Tamandua tetradactyla: one gene and its partners. The protein of the gene in region 1 interacts with the protein of each later gene in a pairwise test. Links are inferred from orthologs where the notes say so. Each region holds a gene or a part of one and is shown on either strand. Other genes may lie near its edges.

Region 1 (8,383 bases):
CCCAAGTCCCATCCGTATTTCTGCACCATCACCATCTTCCTCCCTTCACTCAAACTCCCACTAATCCACACACCGCAGTTGCGTTAACCTTTCTAAACCACAAATGCGATCGTGATCATTCCCCTGCTCAGAAATTACCAATGGCTGCCAGAAATACTTCTCCCTTTGTAGTCAAGAACCCAGAAAGCCTGAGGCATGAACAAGATTCTGGAAACCACAACCCAGGCCAAAATAGCTTCTATAAGATTTTTATTGTGCTCACATATTTTATTTTTTAAATGACAAGTTTACACATTAATCCAAAACACATACCAAAGCTCATTATGATGAACATATATTTGGTCTTATCTACCATCAAAATTTCATTTAGGAATTCTGGAAATGACACCATGCCTTTTCTATGGCTTTTGCACATCCAGTAGCAGACTAAGAAACTGTCCAGAGTACAGTTACCTCAAAAGTATAGGCTTATAAAGATGAATAAACTCTGCTTGCCTCTTCCACTTCATCTCCCACAAGTACCTCCACATTCTGAAGTTCCAATTCACTGGCCATCTCCTGTGGGCTGGAACTCCCCAGGTGTTCGCTCACATTGCTTCCTGTGCCCCATACACCTTCACTTATTTCTACTTTCAGAAGCTGTACTCAACATTCAAGGCCAAGTTAAAACACTTGCTCTAAAAAGCTTTCCCAGACTCCCTCCTCAGTGTTTCCACAGGAGCACACTCTATTGTTATTTGTTTCCATTTCTGTACCACACACCTCGTGCCAATCCATGAATTACTTTTATATTCAAAATACTTTGCCCAAAATAGGGAGCACATCACATTCCCACGGACTGAGTGACTAAACATGCTTGCACTGCCGAAAAGCAAGAGTTTGGCCAGAAGTTTCTTCTTCTTTTTTTTTTTGCATGTGCAGGCACTAGGAATAGAACCCAAGTCTCGGGCTTGGCAGGCGAGAATTTTGCCGCTGAGCCATTGCACCACCCCAGAACTTAATTTCTTCTAAGAATGGAAGCGTTTTGTCATCTCTTCCCTGTATCATCTTCCAAAAGTAATTTTCCCTCACAGAAAAAGGCTTACTGAAAGCCTCATAAACTACAGCAGTTTACCCCCTTTTGATGATGCCAACACTCAGATAAGAATATCCATTTCAAAAGAAATTTATTTATAATTCTTTAATTGACACACATAGAGGATTTGGCCATCTGAACAAAAAGAAAATTTCAGACAAAGGCTCTCTAAGTCTTGTTTTTCAAGGCAAACCAACACATTCCACGTTTGATTTTGCCCTCAACTCCATCAGGTCTATTACCCTGATGAACTAGAAAGGACTTTATGAGCCCTAATGATGCTTTTTCCTTTCTCCAGACTCTCCACACTTCTGTAGATTGTCTCTTTAATGCTATACTCTGAAGCCCCTATAATGTGTTGAGGGCATCACAATGGTGAAGCACACCCATCATTTTATTCAAACTTCTATGTCATAAACTTCTGAGCTAGGTTGTCTAAATAAACTCACCTGACAAAATACACAATATATATCAGACCATGTGCTACACAACATAGCTCTCCTCCTTTGTTTCATACAGGAATTAAAGTTTCAAAATATTTACAAATCCATCTTCCATCTTCAACAGTCTTCTAGTTCTTCCCAGTCTGATCCAAAGCAATCTCGTTTATACATTCTTCACCAGATGCAACCCAGCAGTGCTTCCCAGTGCACCTCTAAAGTTGGAAGATTCTGATCACAAGTCTTTACATGTTCCAAAGTTCCAGAGAGCAATACTAGGTCATGCCCAACATTTCAAAAACACAGCAAAACAACAGAATAAATGTGACCACTGAAACAACTTTTGATTAAGCCCCATTCCCCTCATGAGAGTATTTCTCAAACAAAAATTATTTTTACAGATTCAATTACATCTGACAATACAAACCTGTATCAAAGTCATCAACCACCGACCATGAAGGAGACTGTTACATGGGGGTAAAAAACATTCAAAAACAAAACAGTAAAAATGACAAGCTGTTTCAATTTCTTCAAGTCCACTCTTACCCGCTGACCAGAGTCCATCAGCTGTGAACCTAAAGCACAATTGGAAGAAATTTACCATCAAGACATTCTGAGTCTCAGATTTCCATATCCTGATGTTTAAAAACTTTTACAAACATCTAAAGAATGTCACTTCTTACAGACAAGGTGCTGCCACACACCCGTCTTCCAGAAAAATCTGGGAATTTCTATCTCTCTCTGCCTGTGTTCTCACCCACCCTCCCCTAGTTTGCTCTAACAGCCTGGTTCCCCGCCTCCCCCTTCCTTAGCGCGGAGGCAGGTGTATCCCCGGCGACTGTACTACCACAGCTGACGCTTATGTTTCAAGAAAACGAACTTGAACTTTTCTCTATTACCAGAGCGGGAGGAGGAGCTTTACAAAACAGTATCTACTAACAGCTAACCAAACGAACGCATTTATTTTCCCCATCGCCCCCATTCCCCATCTTTAATGCAGCAAAATTGGGGGACCACTCCCAGAACGTTACCATTTTTAGAGGATGCTGTTTAATCGTGCTATGACAATTACCGAAACATCAATCCAGCTCCCGCCGGAGGCCGGCCACACCGCCACTCCCCCTTCAAGACGATTCGCTTTTCTCTATTCGCCAGACTAGCTCGACCAACATCTCTGCCATCTTCGCAATCTCTTTAGCCTTTTCCTCGGCCTTCTCACACAATTCCGACACTCTCTCATCGGCGTCTCCGTGTGGGTTCTGCACGTGATTCAAAGCGCTCTCTTCCGACGCCTCCACCTGCGTTTTTATTTGGATGAGCATATTGTCCATCTCCCACAACTTGCTCCTGGTCCTCAAATACGCTCTTCCGTGCTCTCGTATGAGCGATGCGATGTCCTCCCGCATCTCGTGGATGACTGGAAGCAGGAATTGCTCGAAATCTTCCTCCGGTTCCAGCAATTCGACCTCCTCGGGGGCTTCCACCTCTTCGATGTCCAAGGGCCGCATGTTCTCCCGCTACCCCTTCAGAACCTCAGTATCGACGTCCTCCTCACGCGCGCCCCCCCGGGGAGGGCTGATCACGTCGCTGCCGGACTGCAAACCGTGACCAGAATTCCCGGCTTACCCTTAAAACGCTTCCTCCGCTTAAACCCTTCGATTCACAGCTGGGACGCAGAGAACGCCTCGCAGAAACGCAGCGAAGCGGCCCACAAAATGGACTCGCCGCCGTCAACCGGCGCTCTGCGTCTTTGCGGCCCTTTCACGACACGGCTGCGGCCCTTTACGGTCACGCCTCCAAAAAACTCAGGGCTTGGGCGCGCGCACGTAACAGGATCGCGGGTGTGCGCATGCTCGCCTCTCTTCTCCGCTGGTGCCCGCTCCATCCCCTCGGGGGGACGGGACGACCGTAGAGGTTTGCTCGGCACGTCAGAGGCGGCTTCTGTGGACGGATTTTTACTTTTTTAAAACAATATGTGCTCTCGGGCCATGCTTTTATTATTTAAAAAAAAGCAATATATGCAAAAGCAATCCCACACCCCCACCCCACCCCGTATTTGGATAAGACTCCTTGGTGTCCCCAGCATTCTATGGGGGCCGAGCAAGCACTGCTCTGAAGTGCTTAAGTTACGCTGAATGAACTCACTTAACCCTCACAACAAACCCGTGAGCTAGGCCCACAGGTGGGGACGTAACTAAAATCCAAGCTCATGATTAGCATTTGAACCCCGAGCAATTTGGGTCCACAACCCCTGTTCTGAGCTACCGGATTATGCGCCCTCGCTGGGACAAAGCCCTTCAGCCCAAATCCGTGGATGCTGATAGCCCCTTTCATTCCCCTCTTCTGTACTGGAGAAATTTCTTTGACTACCTGGGTTACTATGGTCTGTTTTTTTGGTCTCTCTTCATCAGACCAAAAGCTCCCCAAGGGAAAGGTTCACTTTTGGTTCAGGTCTGCGCTCAGCCCCTGCCGGCAGCCTGGCATCAGGTAGGGCCTTTCAGAATGTTTAAGAGAAAAGGAATTTCTCCCTAAATTATCAAGTGCTTCCGTGAGACTGTAGGCTCCTGGAGGGCAGTTCTGGTCTTGGTCACCTGTGTGCCCCCACCCGCAGGACCTGGCGAACAGCTGAGTAAACGTTGCTTTCATATTCATTGACCATGTGATTTGATCACTGAAAGTGTGTCATTGTGGGATGGATGACGTACATTTCTAGGCTTGTCACCCAATGTCACACTTGGAGTAATTTGGGGAAATCCCGCTTGCTTGCATGCTAAAGATAAGAACATCAGTTTTCCAGTCCCATTAAAGGCCAGTGATCCCAGTCTTCGTATCTGTCGGTGGTGAGAGGTGTAAGTGAAACAACGTGCATGCAAATGTTTTGCAAACCTCAAAGTACTAGCAGATGTAAGTGTGCTTGTGTATTATAACTCTGCTTGTGTAAATTGTAGTGCTTGATATCAAAGATTTTGGAGTCAGAGTAATCCAGAATTAGCTCTAATTCTTCCAATTATTTGCTCTGTGGCTTTGGACAAGCTGGATAACCTGAACATACCTCTCTGGGTCTCTTTCCCCCTCTTATCCTAAGGTGGGCATTGAGGATAGTGATTTCCTAAGTAGGGGACCATGTGGCCCAATATTTTAAAACTCATGTCCTGGTGTGATAATTCCCTACTCTAAAAAGTTTCTGGTTTGATAAATTAGCCTTTATTAAGATTATGAACTGCTGTTCATCAAAAGGCACTATCAAGAGAATGAAAAGGCAAGACACAGAGGGCAGAGAGATATTTTCAATAAATATGTCTGACAAAGAATTCATACTAAAAAATATTGAGAAGTACAACAGATCAATAACAGAAAGTTAATTATTAAATTGGCAAAAGACTTGAGCCAGGATTTTATTGAAGAGGACATCCAAATGGCCAATAAATATGAAAAGGTGCTCAATTTCATGATTCAGCAGGGACATGCTTATGAAACCACAGTGAGACAGCACTAGACATCCACTAGCATGGCTAAAATTAAAACCACTGACAATACCCAAGTACTGTGGTGTGTGTGTGTGTGTGTGTGTGTGTGTGTGTGTGTGTGTGTGTGTGTGTGTGAAATATGGTACATTGAATTGTGTTCCTTGCAAGTCCTAACCCCTGGTCCTGTGGGATTAATTTGTAAATAGGATCTTCAATGATGCTTTTTACATGAGGTTAAATCTAACCCAGGTGGGCCTTAGTCTATTGTGACTGGAGTCCTTATGAGGAGAGGAAGTTTAGACAGACAGATGATTGAGCAGCAAGAGAAGAAGCCAGAGGAGAGGGCAGAAGGAAACAGATTACCATATGTTCTATTTACTAAGCTGCTGAAAGCAGATACCATAAAATGCTCTGGGGCGGGGGAGGGGGTTGCGGTACAAGGGTAGCTCCATGATAGAATTCTTGCCTGCCATGCAGGAGTCCGGGTTCGATTCCCCGATCCTGTACTTCCCCCAAAAACAAACAAACGAAAAATACCTCCTTTAGGGCCTAGAACATCAGCTAGTCCCATCTCCCAACCCCATATTATTGACAGCCCCTTCCAACATAAAAAAGTTAGAATGGCCATAGCCCAAATACCCCTAAAGATTGGGATTGAAAGATCAGAGGTGATGGTGGAGTTAAACAGAGAAGGTAGAGTTCAAAAAACGATTATGATTGCTGAATAATATCGATATTTCTTTCAGTCTCCAGTATCTTAGGATAGTTAGAAGTAAAAACCCAAAACTGTGGAATTGCAACCCATACCAAGCTCTGAAATCTGTTCTACAACTAATTGTTGTGCTGTGATTTGAAATTTCATTGCTTTTTTTCTGTTTATGTTATTTTTCACAAAAAAGAAAAAAAAGTCAATTATGATTATAGAAAATGTATATTTATTCCTTCTAGCCTCCTATATTCTGGAGCAGCTAGAAGGAAAAATCTGAGAGGATGGTAGCCCGTGGCAAACTCTGGGCTCTCTTGTTGAAGAGTGCTTTGAAAACTATTGCTTTTTTCTTTCTTTGTTTTGTATATATGTTATAGTATACAATAAAAAAAAAGTTTTTAAAAAATGCTCTGCCTCTATCTATGGGAACTTATTAGCTTACAGGCTTACAGTTTTGAAGCCATGAAAATTTCCAAATCAAGATGTCATCAAGATGGTGCTTTTTTCCTGAAGACTGGCTGCCAGCAATTGGCAAGGCGCGTGGCAGTGTCATTTGGTCTCCCTATTCTTCTGAGTTTCTTTGCTTTCAGCTTCCTGTTTCCATGGCTTCCTCTCTCTTTGTCCAAATTTCATTCTCTATAAAGGGCTCCAATAAGAGGATTAAGACCCACCTGAATGAGGTAGGTGATATCTTATTAAGATCCTACTCACCAAAAGATCCTACCCACAGTGGGCCCACAGCCGCAGGAATGCATTTTGGTGGGTACAGCTTCAAATCCTCACGCCATGGGATGGAGCAGAGATTGAGCCAGCACCAGAAAGCTACAGCTTCAGAGAACACATAGCTTACCATTACGTCAATTCTGGACTTCTTGCCTCCAAAATTGTAAGACAATAAATTCCTATTGTTTAAGCCAACCAGTTCATGATATTTTATTTATTATACCAGGCCTGACAAACTAAGACATGGAAGAATTGGGCTCTCGTACACACTATTCCTGGTGGGAATATGCATTGGTAAAACCTTGGGGAACTGTTTGGCAGGACCTGTTAAGGTTAAGCATATACCAACCCCATGACCTAGTAGTTTGACTCCTTGGTACATACTCAAAAGATTTTGAATTCCTATGTACACAAAAAGACACACACAAGAACACACATAGCAGTTGTATTATGAGCCCCAAAGTTGAAATAACCCAAATGTCTATCAGCAGGAGAATAAATAAATTGTAGTGTACTTTTTCAGTGGTATATTAGTTATATATTGCTGTGTTACTAGTTATCCCCAAATTTAGCATCTTAAAACCACAAACTTTATCTCACCTGGTTTGTAAGGGGCTGGGGGTCCCTCACAAGGTTGCAGGCAAGCTATTGGTTGGGGCTGCAGACATCTCAAGGCTTGACCAGGGCTGGAGGACCCACTTCCAAGATGGCATATTCATGCGGGTGTCAGAAGCAAGCTGGCCAAAGGCCTCAGTTCCTTGCTTTGTGCTCTCAGATGAGCAGTTTTTTCAGACTGCTTCCTTTTTTAAAAAAATTAGGAGGATCAAAGCTCTCTTCGTTTTGCACTGTCTCTGTCCCCTCCAGTCCAAACTATAGTGTTTCTTCTAATATAATTATCTTTAAAATATCATAGGAATTGGTAGAGTCATTACCAGGGGCTGGGGTGGGTGGGTAGGGAATGGGTAATTAATGCTTGAAGTGCTCAGAGTCTCTGTTTGGGGTGATGGGAAAGTTTTGGCAATGGACTGGGATGATGGAGCCCAACAATGGGAACATAATTAATGGCACTGAAACATATATTTGAATGTGACTAAAGGGGGGAATTTTAGGTTGTGTATATGTTACTAGAATAAAAATTTTTAAAAAGTAGGACTGTACAACACAACGAACCCTAACGGAGTCCTTGGACTATAGTTAATAGTACAATTACAATAATATTCTTTCAGTTGTAAAGAATGTAACACAATAATGCATGCTGTTAACAATAGGGGGTATATGGAACTCTGTATTATCATTTTTATGTAAACCTACAAATCTCTAAAAAAAGGAAAAAAGAAAGAAAAAGACACCCTAGGACTCTTCTGAATCTCACTGGGGTGCACTCCATTACACAAAAACCCACACCTGCAAAACCTTCTTGGGCTTCTGCTGATAATACTGAGGAACAAACTCTTAAAGAGTCCTAGAGGAGGCTATTTCACAGGGAGAGGAGGAGATATTCAGATCCTTGTAAATGAGGAAATTTCCAACGCCATGAGAGTGTGACCAAGACAAGACACATATTCAGAAAATTCAGGAGAAGATACCACGCTTTCATCTCAGGCCGATCTGCAGTTTCATTGGCAGGAGAGTGAAACTCTGAAGCAGAGTAACAACCACCACAGAACCAATTTGCAAAGACTGTGAAAAATGGTTTTCGTGATGCATTTGTTTTTGTTAGCTGCTGACATGTAAGAAAATCTCTGTCATATCACTATCTGGGTTCGGACTTAAGGAACAGACAGATCAAGGGCTAAATTCCGTTGTTAGCACATTAAAATATTAAAATGTACCAAAAAACCCAAAACAAACAGGAAACTATGGCCCATCCAAAGGAACAAGATAAACCATCAGTGATTTAATTAGGTTCTCTAGAGAAACAACCAAAAGGAGATATCTGTAAATATAAGATTTGTAAAGGTGTTTCATGCAA
Region 2 (7,876 bases), on another chromosome or scaffold:
GTACACCCCAAGATCGAGGGCTCAGCCTATTGATTTGGTTGTCCCCACTGCTTGCAAGAATATCAGGAATTCTCCAAGTGGGGAAATTGAATTTTCCCCATTTCTCCCTATTTTCCTAAGGGGACTTTGCAAATACTTCTTTATTCAGTGTTCAAATCACTCTGGGATTTAATCAGGGCACCACACTAACCTGGACAAACCTTCAAAATTTCACGCCCTATTCAAGGTTCCATGTATTTTACCCTGTCCACATACATTAAACTAAGAAATACACTAGTCAAAATATAAATTTTGTACCAAACATTTCTTGCTTTAGTCTCACACAGAAGCTGATGTTTTAAAATATGAATTACCATCTATTTTCAACACTCTGCAATACTGACATTCCTTTGTTCTTCCTCATGCAAAAACATTTTTTAATTTGTACATTTAGTCACTATCATTGTACACTCTAGACATTCCTAGATTATACCATCTCGGTCTTTATCGTCTCTCTTTCCTTCTGGTTTCTTCTGTGCCCCTAGCCCTTCTCCCTCTATCATTCTCACATTCAGCCTCATTCGGTGTACTTACATTATTATATTACAGTCAGGTAATATTGTGCTATCCATTTCTGAATTTTTACAATCACTCCTGTTGCATGATCTGTATCCCTTTAGCTCCAGTTACCCAATCTCTACCGTATTCTATCTCCTAATAACCTCTGTTCTTAACTGAAATTCTCCAAGTTTACTCATTAATGTTAGTTCATATCAGGAAACTATACAGTATTTGTCCTTTTGTTTCTAGCTAATCTCATTCAGCATAATGTCCTCAAGGTCCATCCCATCTCAGAATTTTTCTGTGGGCTGTGAGAGGAGTCCTTGAGTTTGGCTACTGTGGTACTGGGTTCCATGTGGGGCCCAAAAAGCAGACTTTAAACAGCTTTCCATGGGGTTGGATAGATATGTGAATTATAGACATGTCAATGGTAGAATCTCGGATTTGGGTATATGAATATTTGTTGTAAGATTCTTTTACTTTTCTGTGTGTTTGAAATTTTCAAAATAAAATGTTGGGATAAAAAGCATTCTTAGGCCTGTTGTGGGTATTTAGCTTAAATTATTATAGCACCAGTTATAATTCTGTTTGCAACAGCCACTTTTACATAGCTGCTAAAGAGCACAGCTACTAAATATCTGTTCACCAACTTCTTCGCCATTTGATCTGGTGGTCATGCTGTCCAGCCTTCTTCCATCTTCTGTGCTGAACATTGTCAGGACACAGACCTCCAGGGTCTCTTCTGATCTGTTCATTCATTCATTCATTCTGTAACTGATTTTGGGGTGCCTTTCTGTGTTCTAGCCTGTTACATAAAAGATGTTGCTGGGTTGCTTTGTTTTCTTTCTCTGAGTTTAACATACTTAAGGGCTAATTTTGCATTTTGTGCTCAGAGCTCTGAACATGTCCGAGTTTGTCTGTGACCTGTCAGCAAGGCCCTATGTATACGACCTCATTGCTGTGTCCAATCATTATGGAGCCATGGGGGTTGGCCACTGTAAGTACTGGCATCTGCTTCCTTCTGAAATGTTGAAACGCCCTCAGCCAGTCAGCTCTCACCAGACTATCCATGTAAGCCAGGCAGTGTTCTCACATTTTACTTTGACAGCTCCGCAGGCCTCAGGCTCCATGCTTCTTCAATACTGCTGCCCCACCATTCTTACTAGGTATCATCTCCTGGCTCAGGATAGCTCTTCAGTCTCCAGCCTTCATGTCTGCTTTCCATGCCATTTTTAAGCAGATCTCCCAGAAGCCTCTTTAACTCCTCTACATGCATTGCCTTGGCTTTAAGTTGGCCATGTGACTACATCTGGCTGCAGGGCTGGGAAATTAAAACTGTCCCTGCTGGAGTGGCTATTAGCAGTCTCTGATCATATATCCTAGAGCACTCACTGTTTTGCAACTTGCGTTTTTCTCCCAACATTAATTTTGTTACCTGTTTTTATGCATACTGGTCAAATGTATTCATTTTTAACTGCCATTTTAGCACATAACACTGGGTAAGTATTTCAGCCCCTCTGTGCCTCACCGTTACCATCTGACAGATTAGGATGGTTGTGTAGTATCTGGTGCCCAGCCCACATTGGGCCCAAAGTTGGAACTCCAAGAACGAGCCACCACTGCTGCTGTTTGGCTATGCCCAGACAGTGTGGATGAGCCCCTGAACCCCTTCTCTGTTGCTTTTTTCCAGGTTCCTCATCACACCTCATGCACTAGGCTCTTTAGTGAGGAAAGTGAAGCTGAGGGGTTTAAAAAGCTTGCCCAGGGTCACACAGCAAGAGCTCCATTAGATTCTGCAGCATCTTAAAGACTGGGGAAGCAGGAATTGAGGGTTGCTTCTGGGATTGCTGTTATAATTACATCCTACCTGCAAATAGCATAAATCAAGATAGAAAGTGTTAGCTGAGGGAAAATACTTGGGCCATTGTGTGGAATTACTATCCAACCATACATTCTTTTTGGAAGGTAGTGCATGGGCTGGGAATTGAACACTGGTCTCCTGCCAGGCAAGCAAGAATTCTACCACTGAATTACCCGTGTGCCCCACCCCCCATCCTTGACCACAGATTCTTTCTTTATTTAAATATTTTTATTGATAACATATAAACACAAGCATTCTTATACAAATATTGCATACATACCAACCATAGATTCTTGACTCAGTTTTAGAGAAAAATAAATTTAAGGCTTCTTGTCTGCATCCTACCTAGGTCGTTCTTTGCCTGCTTTGCAAACTGAAACACCCAATTTATCCCTAACAGGAATTATCCCACAGGCTCCACAGGGATTAAGAGTCTCATGCTGATAACAGTTGCCGTCTTTCTGGACACAGTGGGGGAGTCTGATTTGGCATACTCTTTTGAGAGCTATAGCTTGATAAATCTCAGAAGTGTGAGTTCCATCTTTGGGGCTCCATCCTCTAGAGTATTGCAGCAAGCCCAGTGACTGACACTGGGTTTCTCTATCTTTTGGATTAGTTTCCAAAAACTATAGTATAAAACCTTGGTCTCTGACAGCTTTATTCTGACCCTTTTATGTATTCTTTTTGAGGAGATTAGAAACAAAAGGGTGAATTGTCTTTTAGAAGACACAAAGTATATATTTTAATTTCAACTTTTTTGTTGTCTTTTGGTTTTTATTCTTTTGGTTAAGAAATATTGTTTAGTAGGAGTTTATCTAATAAGCTTGCCAGTTTCACTCTCTGGTGATTGCTACAGTGTTTTCTTTGTTGACTTTGCAGACACAGCATATGCAAAGAACAAACTGAATGGGAAATGGTACTATTTTGATGATAGCAATGTGTCCCTGGCTTCTGAGGATCAGATAGTGGTGAGTAGGCCCCATTATCTGGCTCCTCCTCTTAACTTTATGGATTCAAGTTGGGAAGGGTCTTGGGCTAGTATGGTATTTGGTCAGCCTGCTGTGACAGTGGGAGCTAGCTGTAGCAGAGAAAAGAGTTGGCTGCTATTCTTTCCAGGACATTGCCTAACCAAGAAGCTAACTCCCTTCAGCGTTCTGTGTCATTCCCTGGCAGGGTCAACATGAGGCAACCTCAAGTGAAAGAGCCTCCACAGTCACCTCTGTGTGGATACACAGATCCCCTAAAGTTGTGTGTTTGGAGCAGTGAGAGAGAAGCCGGGGAGAGTGGGTTCTCCAGACCAACCAATCAATGGACTTTTTCCTTCTTGTGTTTTAGACGAAAGCAGCTTACGTGCTGTTTTACCAGCGTCGAGATGATGAGTTTTATAAGACGCCTTCACTCATTGGTTTTCCGGGTTCCTCTGATGGAGGGACGAGGCCAAGCAGCTCACAGCAGAGCTTGGGGGATGACGAGGCTTGCAGCATGGACACCAACTGATGCTGCCTCTGTGACCCTGCCACCCCCTTGTACCAGTGTAATTCCCTAGGAGAATGTCTTTGACCCTCTGAAGACTGCTAGTATTCAGTCTAAAAAACAGATGAGGAAATTCCCTTCTTTTATGGGCAGAAGAAAAAAAAAGACCTTGTTTGCTCAGAAGGGTTATGTCAAGAGGCTGAATTATTTTACTTTTTATATGGGTGGTGAAAAATTTCTGTAAAACCTGTGGAGCTGCGGAGGGGGGTAGGGTGGGGGGCAGGGGGCACAGTGGAGTGTGTGTGATGGATTCCAGAGACTGGAGAGGAACACATTGTAATTGATCCTGGTGCAGCTAGGACGACCTGCTGCAGGGCCACCCTCGGTTCCTGATTTCTGGTTCTGGTGCCGAATGCTGATCACTCCAATAGTCTGCCCACAGTAAACCAAGCCTCAAGTAAACTTGGCATTGGTGCCTCCTCCCTTACCCTGCTCTGAGTTGGGTTTATAATTCCAGGAAAGTTAGTCACTGAAGTCCATTGCTGTCTCTCCTCTGGGTCTTCTTGGAACTTCACCTTTTTCTCCTCCAATGAAATGGAGACATTCAGTGGGGGAAAGGGGTCTCCTATCCCTCAACCTCTCGTAGAACTGAGCAGTTGTGTTATATCTCTCGCCAACCTTGATGAACGGAGACATTTAGATCTTGTGTGAAACCTGTTAGATATTACTTAAAAGAAGTTGATACACAAAACTGCTGGGTGCTGTTCCCATCCAGTCGTTTCCATTTTCGCTTGAGAACGGGAGCCCTTTTAGGAGTTTGTCAGCCCAGAAAAGGGCTCCCGTTCTTGCCAACTTTTGGTAACAAGCGAAATCCCCGCCCCTCCAGCCGGGTTCTCTCCGCCCCGCCCCTGGGCTGCCTTCCGGGCCACCGCCTCTCAGTGTGCAGGGCCTTTGCGTCCCCTCCCACCGTGTGGGTTCAAAGAACAGTAGGCCGGGCTTTTGTGTGTGACCTTTAACCCGAACCAAGGGGGTTGGTGTCGCCCAGCCCGGGCGCGCGCCGTGACCGTTGGCGAGGGCGGGCGGTGTCGCCGCACTGCTTGGTGAGGACGCGGCCGCAGGGTGCGGAGCTCGCCACGGAGCCGGGATTGCGGCGGGCGGGGGCGGGGCCGGGAGGCAGTGGGCGGCGAGGCAGGGCACCCCGGGTCTCCTGCGGCTGGGTGGTGGTTCCGCCCATCGGAAGGCGGAGGATACCTGCCGGCCTTGAGAGGAAGGCGTCGGGGGGGGGGGGGGGGGGGGGGGGGTCAACTCAGTGCCCTGTCGGGTGATTCGCCATCTCGTTTGTAATGGGATCATTCTCGAGTTGCTTTGTGCATTTTCAGTGTATTACGTAATAGAGACATGGTCGCTTTTAGGGGAAATGTCTGAGAAACTAAGAAGATGCAGGAAGGAGCTGACTGCAGCCATTGATCGGGCCTTTGAAGGAGTCAGTCATTCCCAGGAGTGCGCAGGTCACCGGAGGCTGGAACTGGACGCCTCGCCACTCTCTTTCCCCTTCCCTGTGCATAAGTTCCTCTGCAGAAGACACCCGCTTGTCACCTGCTCCTCTCCTGCTCCATTTGTGCCTGTCCCATGTGCTCCTGAAAACGAGAGCCCTGCCCTTGCACCAAACCATGCCCCAATAAATACAATACCACATGCTTTATGCCCAAAAAGAAAACCTCTGACCAGCAAGGAAAATGTATTGATGCATCCCTCCATTTTGGTACCTGAAAGTCAGTCTTGGCGAGCTGCAGGCGATGGGGAAAACTGGAGAAAAGAACATTTAAGGTGATTCTAATTTAATAGTTTAATATTCTGTAAGTAAGTGATTTCTTGTTTCTGAAAAAATTGTTGGCGATCCTAGATTGATTCCATGACACATACTGCTCTTTCCTTCTGTTTATATAGTTCACAGACATTCTTCAGATTCAGGCCCAGCAAACATGTTGTGTATTTGTGTTTGGATAGGGTAGAGGAGATTGTTGACAATCCTGGTTGTGGAAACAGTCATGGAAACTACTTTGCAGTAAATGTTAAGAAACCTGATTTTTAAAGTAACCTTATTTTTTGTGCGGCAGAAACAAAAATATTTTTAAATATTTTTATTGTAAATAGCAAACATTCTATACATGGTGTACAATCAGTTGCGCACAATATTATCACATAGTTGTAGAAACAAAAATCTTAATTCTAGTTTCTGAGCCTAGACACAGGGCCTTGACACTCTCCTCTGCCTACATTAGAGAAAGGTTGTATCAGTAGCTGGACCGTGCTTCCCTGGCTACATCCTTGCCTCTGCCTACCCATCTACCCCACCTCTAAGTTTTATAGACTATCACTGGGTTAAGGTCTCCCCTTGACCATCTGTTCTCCTGGGTAGTTTCAAACAGCTTGGTCTCAAGTGCCTCAATTTGGAGCAAGGTTGACCTTGTGGGATGAAATTTCAAGGTCCTGCTATCTTGGCTTCCCTGTAGGCAAGGAATGAAGAGGCCATTTAACTGGTTCAACTTCACAAATATTAACCCTGGTTATCAGGAACAGTAAAGCAAGTCTATGATGCTTGGGAGTCATTATGATAATGCTACTGGTCAATTTCCTCACTGGTTTTTTATCCTTAAGTTATATAACAAACTCTCAGTTTCCCTCAGATATTTTTTGAAAGAGGATCTAATCCCCACCCATTTTTTTTCACCCGGGGCTATAGGAAAGATACGGAGAGAGATTTGAAGGTTGACTCAAATATGCCACTTAGCAGTCCTACTCAAGAGGTCACAAAGGATCTGCTGGATATGATTGGTGAGTACAGAGGGTACATCTGTCCTGTCCTTTGGCCCACATGGGCCCCTAAATCAGCAAATGTCTTAGATTAAAAATTGTAAGACATCAACACTTTTTATCAACCATTCATTCATAAGATTTATTTTGCTCACAGTATGCTCTGCATATATAGCAGTGAGCAAAACAAACCCTGTTCCTTCCCTCATGGAGCTTACAACTTGATGGGGTCACACATCAAGTCATTTCAGAAATATCTACTTACAGTCCTTGAGGATGTGGTGGTTGAGCTTAGAACTGAAGGAAACAGGAGATAGACAGAGAGGAGAGGGCGTCCCACTGGGGTGGGTAATGTAAAGTTTGAAGAAAAATTAGGGCACAAAGCTCCCCTATACTTCCATCACCCAGGATATACATCCTGTTTTTTTCTACACACACATATCTGTGTATTGTGTATGTTAATTATATGTGCCCTGTTTTATTTAAAAAAATTTCTTTATTAATTTTTAAATTTAAAAAATATGTAACAAACACAAACATTCTTAACATATGATCATTCCATTCTAGCATACGTAATCAACAATAGTTGCATATTCATCATGATCATTTCTTAGAACATTTGCATCAATTCAGAAAAAGAAATAAAAAGATAACAGAAGAAAATTCATACATACCATACCCCTTACCCCTCCTTTTCATTGATCACTAGCATTTCAATCTAAATTTATTTTAACATTTGTTCCCCCTGTTAGTGCCCTGTTTTTAAATGACGTATTATAGTGTTCAAACCTAGTAAAGGGATGCTTAGCCTTGGACACTGCCTAAAACTGTTGGCTCTGAAGGGCCTCCGGGTCATCTGGGATGACCCCGGCTCTTGTTGCCTCCATAGGTCAGGAAGTCCCTGAGATCTAGGTGTGCAGCTCTGTATCCTCCCACTTAGATCTTCCTTGGAGACTGGCAGATGGTTGGGGCTTGATAAATGCCAGGGCCTGAAAAGAGGGCAACCCAAGCCCACCTTAATTTTCCACTGCCTCTCGAATTCCCAGCTTTGTGCTATCCCGGAAGAGTGATCACCTATTTATCTTCTTAAACATGTGCTTGAAATGTCTTTGAAAACTCTTAATGGAATTGTAAAGCTGAGTATTCTTATTTTTAAGACCATACAAGTATCCGAACTATTGAAGAATT
Region 3 (7,225 bases), about 3.1 Mb from region 1:
GTGTATGGAGTGGGGTAGTTCTGTACTTTTTCAACAGCAGCAGAATAGTTTTATTCTTACCTGACCAGGCAATACCCAAAAATTTGACAGAGCATCTGGGTCCCTGTAGCTTATTTCAACTTACCACCCATTCCCAGCTTTCAAAGTGGGTCACCACTAGGTTAGCAGAGGTTTCTAGTTATGAAAAAGAGTTAATGGTTTGCATAACATCATTCATGTAATGGAAAAAAGTTATATTTTCAGGGGATTTCCATGTTTTCAGGTCTTGAGCAACTAAACCATGACAAATAGTAGGACTATGAAAATACCCTTGGGGCAACACAATAAATGTCCACTGTTGTCCTTCCCACATGAAGGCAAATGCAAATGGCTGGAGAGACCTAAAGAGGCACTGAAGAAGGTATTAACAAGGGTTAATACAAAATGAAATTGGCCTGAGTACTTACAACCTTTAACAAAATACCAATGTTTGGCACACCTGCAAATAAAGGAGGAACTACTGTATTTAGTTGTCTATAGTCATTTATCATTCACCAAATTCCATCAGGTTTCTTTACTGGCCAGATAGGGCAATTAAAATGGCTGTGAGTAGAAATGATAGTACCCACTCTTTGTAATTTCTTAATAGTGGCAGTGATTTCTTGATGGCCCCTGGGCAACTTACACTAATGCAGTGCCACAGTGCTTCTGGGGGAAGGTACTTTCACCTGTGACTACTTAACATATCTTCTCAGGATGTTTGGACCACTCTGTACCTGTTTTAGTTTGTTAAAACTGCCAGAATCAATATTCCAAAACCAGAATGGTTTTTTAAAAAGGGAATTTATTAAGTTGCAAATTTACAGTTCTAAGGTCATGAAAGTGTCCAAATCAAGGCACCAACAAGAGGTTACATTCAGTCAAGAAAGGCTGATGCCATCTGGAACACCTCTGTCAGCTGGGAAGGCACATAGCAACGTCTGCTAGTTTTCTCTTTTGGCTTCTCATTTCATAAGGATTCCTCAGGGGTGTTTTCCTTCTGCATCTTCAAAGGTTTGGCTGTGTGGATTCTCTTGGCTCTGAAACTTCTTCCAAAATGGTTCCCTCTTAATGGTCTCCAGTAAGTGTCTCCACCTTGAATGGGTGGCAATGCATCTCCATGGGAACCACCTAATCAAAAGGTACCACCCACAACTGGGTGGGTCACATCTCCAGGGAAACATTAAAAAAGATCCCACCCAGCAATACTGAATGAGGATTAAAGAACATGGCTTTTCTGGGAGTACATAATAGCTTTAAACCAGTACAGCACCAGAGGCAGAATTCACTTATGGTACTTTGCAAGATAATATTTTGCTAGATATCAATTACTAATATATATACTCTTGGATAGGAGATATATGTATACCATATATGTTTGAGGTGGTAATTGGCCAGCTTGCATTAATAATTGCTGCTGAGTTGCTTCAATGCCTTCGCCCATGTATCCAGCAATGGTTAGTGTAGGGCTCCCAGTTTGTGGCCGTTGCCCATATATTAAGGTACATTCCACTTCATTGTCTACTAAGCCCAAAACTCTATGCTCATTAGTGGGGGAGTCATTTCTATATGTGGCCTCTGATCCCCAGTGTCCCCATATATTTTTCTTGGGGATCTTGACCTATCTCCTATGCAAGGGGGAAGGGGGCCTTCCAGACCTCCTGGGTCAGGGGGCGGAGGGTTCTTTAGGTGGTGTTGGCTGAGTCTTTGAGCCAGAATCCATGTTCTCCTCTAGTGACCTGGTTTCAAGCTTAGTAAACCTCTGCTCCTTGGACCACTTGCTCCACAGTCCAACTGATACTCCATTTGGCTGCCCATCAATATCCTCAATTTAGTTTCAGCATCTATTAGGTATGTCTACATTTGTCTGTTTGACACCTGGTTCAGACCATCATGTCCCCTTGGGATTTGACCCATAGCTCTGACTTGAGCTCCCCTCTGCCTTAGGCGATCTGTCTCTCCCAAGTGTGCAATCATTTGGGTAGCCTGTGAGATGGGCTGTCCTATAAGTGGGCACCAAAGTCCCCTATCACTATTGGGATCAGTATGTAGAATTGTCTTGTTAATTCCTGTAGCATAAATTACACTCTCTGGTCCAATGGCACCCAGCATTTAAATTGCATGTTTCATCCCAAGCTCCCTTAATACATCGTGTAGTTCATCAGTGGTGTTCCAGTGGGGGTTGCAATGGGGCAGATCCCCCTCAATGGGCCACACCTTCTGTACTGTAATATAAGCCAATTAAATAGCAAATTTGTTTCCATTTTGGGGGCAAATGAATACATGCATCGACACAGAGAAAGATAGGTGGTGAGAGAGGACAATTTACTCATCTCATGCCCAGAGAGCAGTAAACCATAGGCACCAGTGTCCCACAATTGCAGTTTCCAATTTGATAAAAGTTCTTTAGGTTTTTGTCTATACTAAGTCCCAATCTCTTGTAATTCAGAGCTGGTAGAATCTTGCACTGTAACATGTATTTTTTTGCTGGCCCAGATGGGTTCTGACTTAACCTTATGTAACTTCTTCCTCCTTACCCTAGTGCAACAATATGCTAATATTTCCAATTTTCATCTGCTTGGCATAGCCTCTCATTTAAAGCATCTTTCCTCTCCACTTGGACCACCCTCCCATCCATGTCTAATTTAGGTTCCTATTCTAGGGGGTGACTACCCCTCCGCTGTCAAGGCCTCTTCCATAGCTGTTTGCATGGCCTCCAAGAACAGCCAGGCCACAGCTGCAGCAGCCCAGCAGCTTTCCTTTTTCTTATGAAATCCCAACTGTACTGTGGCCTGTTACAGCAGGATTTTTAGTCCAGCTGGGGAGTTACAAGCACCTCCATACTTCTTCCGCGACTCCCATTCATCCAGAACAGTACGCACCTGCCTCCACATGCCTGTTGCAGGCCATCCTGGGAAGTCTCTTTTCCCAGTACTTCTGCCTTTCATCTTGCAGCTTTTTGGTTTCCTGGCTGGCTCGCCAAATATTCAAACCCAACTCCACATCAAGACCAAAGAACACACTAGACAAAGAGTTACCAATGAATTTTAATTAGGGACTTAGAAGATTTTTCCCCATGAGCACATCAGTGACCTGCACAAACAAGAGGAAGGGAGCAATTTACAAAGTCCAGCTGAGTCTGGCTGAAATTTAGTTACCTAGGGGTGTCAGCAGTCTCCGGAGAGCTGGTTACCTACAGCGCTTAGGGAACGGGAGTTTTAATGCTTTCACAATACATTCTTCACCCTTTCAGGGGTGGGTCTGTTGACCTTTAATGTCTGTGCTCTGGTCAAGCTGGTTACTACTCAAGGCTTCATTTCTTACTAGCTTGCCACCCCCCAGACCCCATCCGCGCGGAGCCTGGCGGGGAAGATCGGACAGTGTCCGCGCGCCTGTCCGGGAGCCCCAGGAACGCCCTTCCCCGGGGCCGGCCGCCCAACGGGCAACAATCTCTCCCCCACCCCAGCTGCCTGAACCCTCCCTCGCGCGCGCCGTCCCCCTTGGCCCCGCACCCCTTCCCGCCGCGGGACCACCTCGCCCCGCCGCGCCCCTGCCCTCCGCCTAGCGCCCTCCGGGACTGCCCATCTCCCCTTCTCCTCCTCCCTCCACCCTCCTCCACGCCTCCGCCTCCCTTCCCGCCCCCTCCACGCTCCCTCCCTCACCTTGCCCCACCCCGGCTCGTCGCTGCCCCCTCCCACCTCACCCCTCGCCCGCTCCCATCGCCCTGCCCCTCTCCGCCTCTTCCCGACGCGTCCCGGGTCGCCACCTGCCCTGTTCTCTCCTCTGCCGGCGACCGCTCTTCTCCGGCCGCCTCCACCTCTTCTCTCGCTGCCCCCGGACCGCCCCTTCCTGGCGCGCTCAGCCCCTTTCCCGCTTTCCCCGCCCCCACAGGCCGGGCCCCGCCTTCCCAGGGGCGGGGCGCGGGGGAGCCAGGCGTCGCGGCGGCTGAGTGGGGCGCGCCTGCGGGCGTGGTGGGCCGAGCCGGGACCCGCCATTGGCAGAGGCTGCATTCCCCGGCCGTCAATCACGTCGTCCGGCCTGTCCCCGCCTCCGCCGGGCAGCGTCGCGGGACGTAGCGTGCCGCGGGGGCTGCCGGGACAGCTCTAAGATGGCCGAGATCCTCCGTTCTCCCTCAGCTTGCGACCCAGTGCCCCATTCATTACCTCACTGCTGAAAGGCGCCCCGCCGCCGCGAGCCGGGCCCAGGGCTCCGGGGGCTGCCCCGCGGGACGGGAGGCCGCCATGGCGACCCTGGAAAAGCTGATGAAGGCTTTCGAGTCCCTCAAGTCCTTCCAGCAGCAGCAGCAGCAGCAGCAGCCGCCGCCGCCGCCGCCGCCGCCGCTGCCGCCCCAGCCTCCTCAGCCGCCGCCGCTCCAGCCGCCACCGCAGCCGCAGCCGCCGCCGCTGCCGCCCAGCTCGGCGGTGGCTGAGGAACCGCTGCACCGACCGTGAGTGTCGGGGCCCGGAGCGGCGGGCCTGCCGCTGCCTCCCCTCCCGGGGCGGGACCTCCCGGTGACAGCCTGGGGGCAGCAGCATCTGTGTCGCCGGCCAACCCCTGACCCCGCCGCGACGGTGGTGGCGGCGCAGCCTTGTCCCCGAGCCCGGGCGCGTAACTCCCGGGAGAGAGAAACTCGCGCTTTCCTGATGGGAGAGCCGAGTCCGGGCCTCGGGTTAGCATGTTCTGTCCCCTCCGGGTCCCCCCGCTGGGCTCTCCGTCATTCTGGGAAGGGAGGTAGCGGTTTCTTGGGGCTCCTCCCGAATTCACCGAGGGGGCCAAGGCCCCAGTCCTCTCGCCTTGTCCCAGATGCCAAGAGTTAGGGAATGAAATAGTTTTTCTTTGCGCGAAACGGGGAGGGGGGGTTGCGCGGCTGTGTTTTGATGGTGGGAATTTAGAAGAGCGCAGGTTGCGACCCTTTTGGCTTCCTCCCTTCTCTCTTCTGACTTTGAGAGGAGGAGGGCTGTGGGTGCAGGCGTTCGAGAAGAGCCAGGACTTGGAGCTGGGGGTGATGCGGGGATAGTGGATGACATAATGCTGTTATGGGCCGGAGTGGTTGGGGGAAGGCGGGGGACTGAGGACGTCGTCCAATGGGAGAGCCTTTTTCAAAGTGGTGCTCGAGAGAGCCCGACTTGAGTCTCTGTTCCCAAATTCCCAAGACATTTCATTTAGTTCCTGAGTCCTAGTGGTAGCGACGTGGTTTAAAGCGTCACTGAACAGGCCTGCTAATCTAAGCTCAGGTGTGGGTCTGCAGACATTTGATTAAACTGTGGTTGCCAAGTAAGTGATGAGGTAATTAGATGATGGTTATTAACAAATGAGAAATAATAAAGTTGATTTAAATATTAAGAAAAGTTGGCTGAAGTTTATCACCTGTTTTCTGTTGGCAATAAAGAGGACACGTTGCTGAGGGTGGGTGAATGAGGTGTACATTTCGCTGGTATTGTCCTCAGGCTTGTAGAACCTGGGGTGTCTGTAGACTCCAGGGATGTCTTTTGCAAGCCGGTGAAAGAGCTTCCTTGATGACAGGCTTGTGTTATCTGTAAGCCAGGGATCTCTGCTGCTTGTGTGTGGGGAGAATTTTTGAACCAGAAGAAGAGAAACACCTTCTAAGAAAACCCAGGAAGTCTTTCTGCTCTTAGCGATTAACAGAGGTTAGGGAGCACCCTTCAGGCATTTTATTTCTTACCTGAATGTGTACACATGATGGCATTTAATAGGTACAGTTTTCAAGACGCAGCCCCTTAAAGAACCTCATTGATTCATTTTTAGTAAAGTTTTCTTGCACTTTCTGTTTCTGATATGATCCCTTCTGTGTCCTGAGAGTTTCATTAGAAACTGAGGAAATAGGATGGACAGGAATATTTACTTATTCCTTCTTCTGAAGAGTGAAAACTTGTTTGGGTATCTAAGGAAACTTTTAAACAGTTTGCCTTATCACTGTAGCAGGTAATTTATAACCAAATCCATTTCCATCTTTTATTTTATTGCTTCTCTAGGAGGTAGGTATCATGGAAATTTGTACTTTGCTTGTATCGGGAAACACTAAGCAGGGTTGGGGTTGGGAAGGAAGTCCTTCCTGCTGTCCTCTGGTGTCTTGTTCGAACACTGGGTCAAACTAAAAGTATGCCTTCTGTTTTGTACACTGATTTGACATAGCCTGAATTTGCTTATTTTCAAAATATGGGTATCAAGTGGTATCCTTCTAAAGCTGGCCGTCAAAGTAGGTAGTTTCATTATTTTAAGGTAATACCTGATTGGTTCATTTAAAATTGATTCATTTAATCTGTTATTTTTGCACAGGTAATATATTAATACAATAAAAATTTCAAAATTACTAAAGAGTAATGATTGAAATGCTTTTCTCCTACCCCTTTCTCTTAAGTACCTCACATGACCCCACACACAAGCACTGTTCCACTTTCTTGTGTGACCTTCTATGTGTAAATTAAGATAGACTTTAAATTCTTCAAAACAAAAGTATTTTAGAATAGTAACCTTTTTTCTTCACTTCTATTATTTCGGTTACATTTTAAAAACATTTTTAAATTGTGAAATATAACATATATGCAAAAAAGTAATAAATTACAAAGTGCATTGTAACAGGTAGTTATAGAATAGACTTTAAAGTTTGGTATGGGTTACAGTTCCATAATATCAGCATTTTCCTCCTAGCTGCTCCAAGGCATTGGAAACTAAAAGAAATATCAATATAATGATTCAGCAATCATACTCATTTGTTTAATTCTATCTTCTCTGTTATACTCCATCTTCTCCTTTGATCCTTCTCCCAATTTAGGGTATTTGGGCTATCCCCATTCTAACTTTTTCATGTGGAAAGGGGTGTTGACAGTATGGAATAGGGAGATGAAACTAGCTCATGTTCTTGGAGAGGCTGGCTCCTCTGGACCTATCTGGCCTAGGAACCCTCTGGAGGTTGTAGGTTTCTGGAAAGTAATCTTAGTGCATGAAACTTTTGTAGAATCTCAGATAGAACCCTAGGTGTTCTTTAGGATTAACAGGGGTGGTTTTGGTTGGGGGTTGGCAAACCATGACAATTAGCAATATCTAGCTAAAGATTGCATAAGAGAGTAGCCTCCAGAATATCTCTTGACTCTATTTGAACTTTCTTAGCCACTGATACCTTATTTTCTTACATTTCTTTTCCCTCTTTGGTCAGGAATGTGTTGATGCCAGACTCATCCCTGGGAGT

The links.
Region 2: the proteins of MRFAP1L1 (region 1) and C15H3orf62 interact in binary tests that used the Homo sapiens proteins (3 or more experiments, as listed by UniProt). The two-hybrid records come from large-scale screens. The link is inferred for Tamandua tetradactyla from reciprocal best matches to the Homo sapiens genes MRFAP1L1 and C3orf62.
Region 3: the proteins of MRFAP1L1 (region 1) and HTT interact in binary tests that used the Homo sapiens proteins (3 or more experiments, as listed by UniProt). The link is inferred for Tamandua tetradactyla from reciprocal best matches to the Homo sapiens genes MRFAP1L1 and HTT.

The regions. Positions count from the first base shown.
Region 1 is NC_135345.1:6,192,190-6,200,572, reverse strand, and holds MRFAP1L1 (MORF4 family-associated protein 1-like 1), read right to left. Parts: upstream 3,279-8,383; 5' UTR 3,024-3,278; coding exon 2,640-3,023; 3' UTR 2,588-2,639; intron 2,091-2,587; 3' UTR 233-2,090; downstream 1-232.
Region 2 is NC_135341.1:36,968,840-36,976,715, forward strand, and holds the start of C15H3orf62 (uncharacterized protein C3orf62 homolog), read left to right. Parts: upstream 1-4,714; 5' UTR 4,715-4,974; exon of another isoform or gene 4,975-4,993; intron 4,994-5,167; exon of another isoform or gene 5,168-5,286; 5' UTR 5,287-5,291; coding exon 5,292-5,701; intron 5,702-6,617; coding exon 6,618-6,709; intron 6,710-7,845; coding exon 7,846-7,876. Other genes in the region: USP4 (ubiquitin carboxyl-terminal hydrolase 4), read left to right, coding at 1,434-1,537, 3,281-3,369, 3,737-3,898. UniProt on the Homo sapiens protein: Essential for normal spermatogenesis and male fertility.
Region 3 is NC_135345.1:3,103,353-3,110,577, forward strand, and holds the start of HTT (huntingtin), read left to right. Parts: upstream 1-4,063; 5' UTR 4,064-4,259; coding exon 4,260-4,465; intron 4,466-7,225.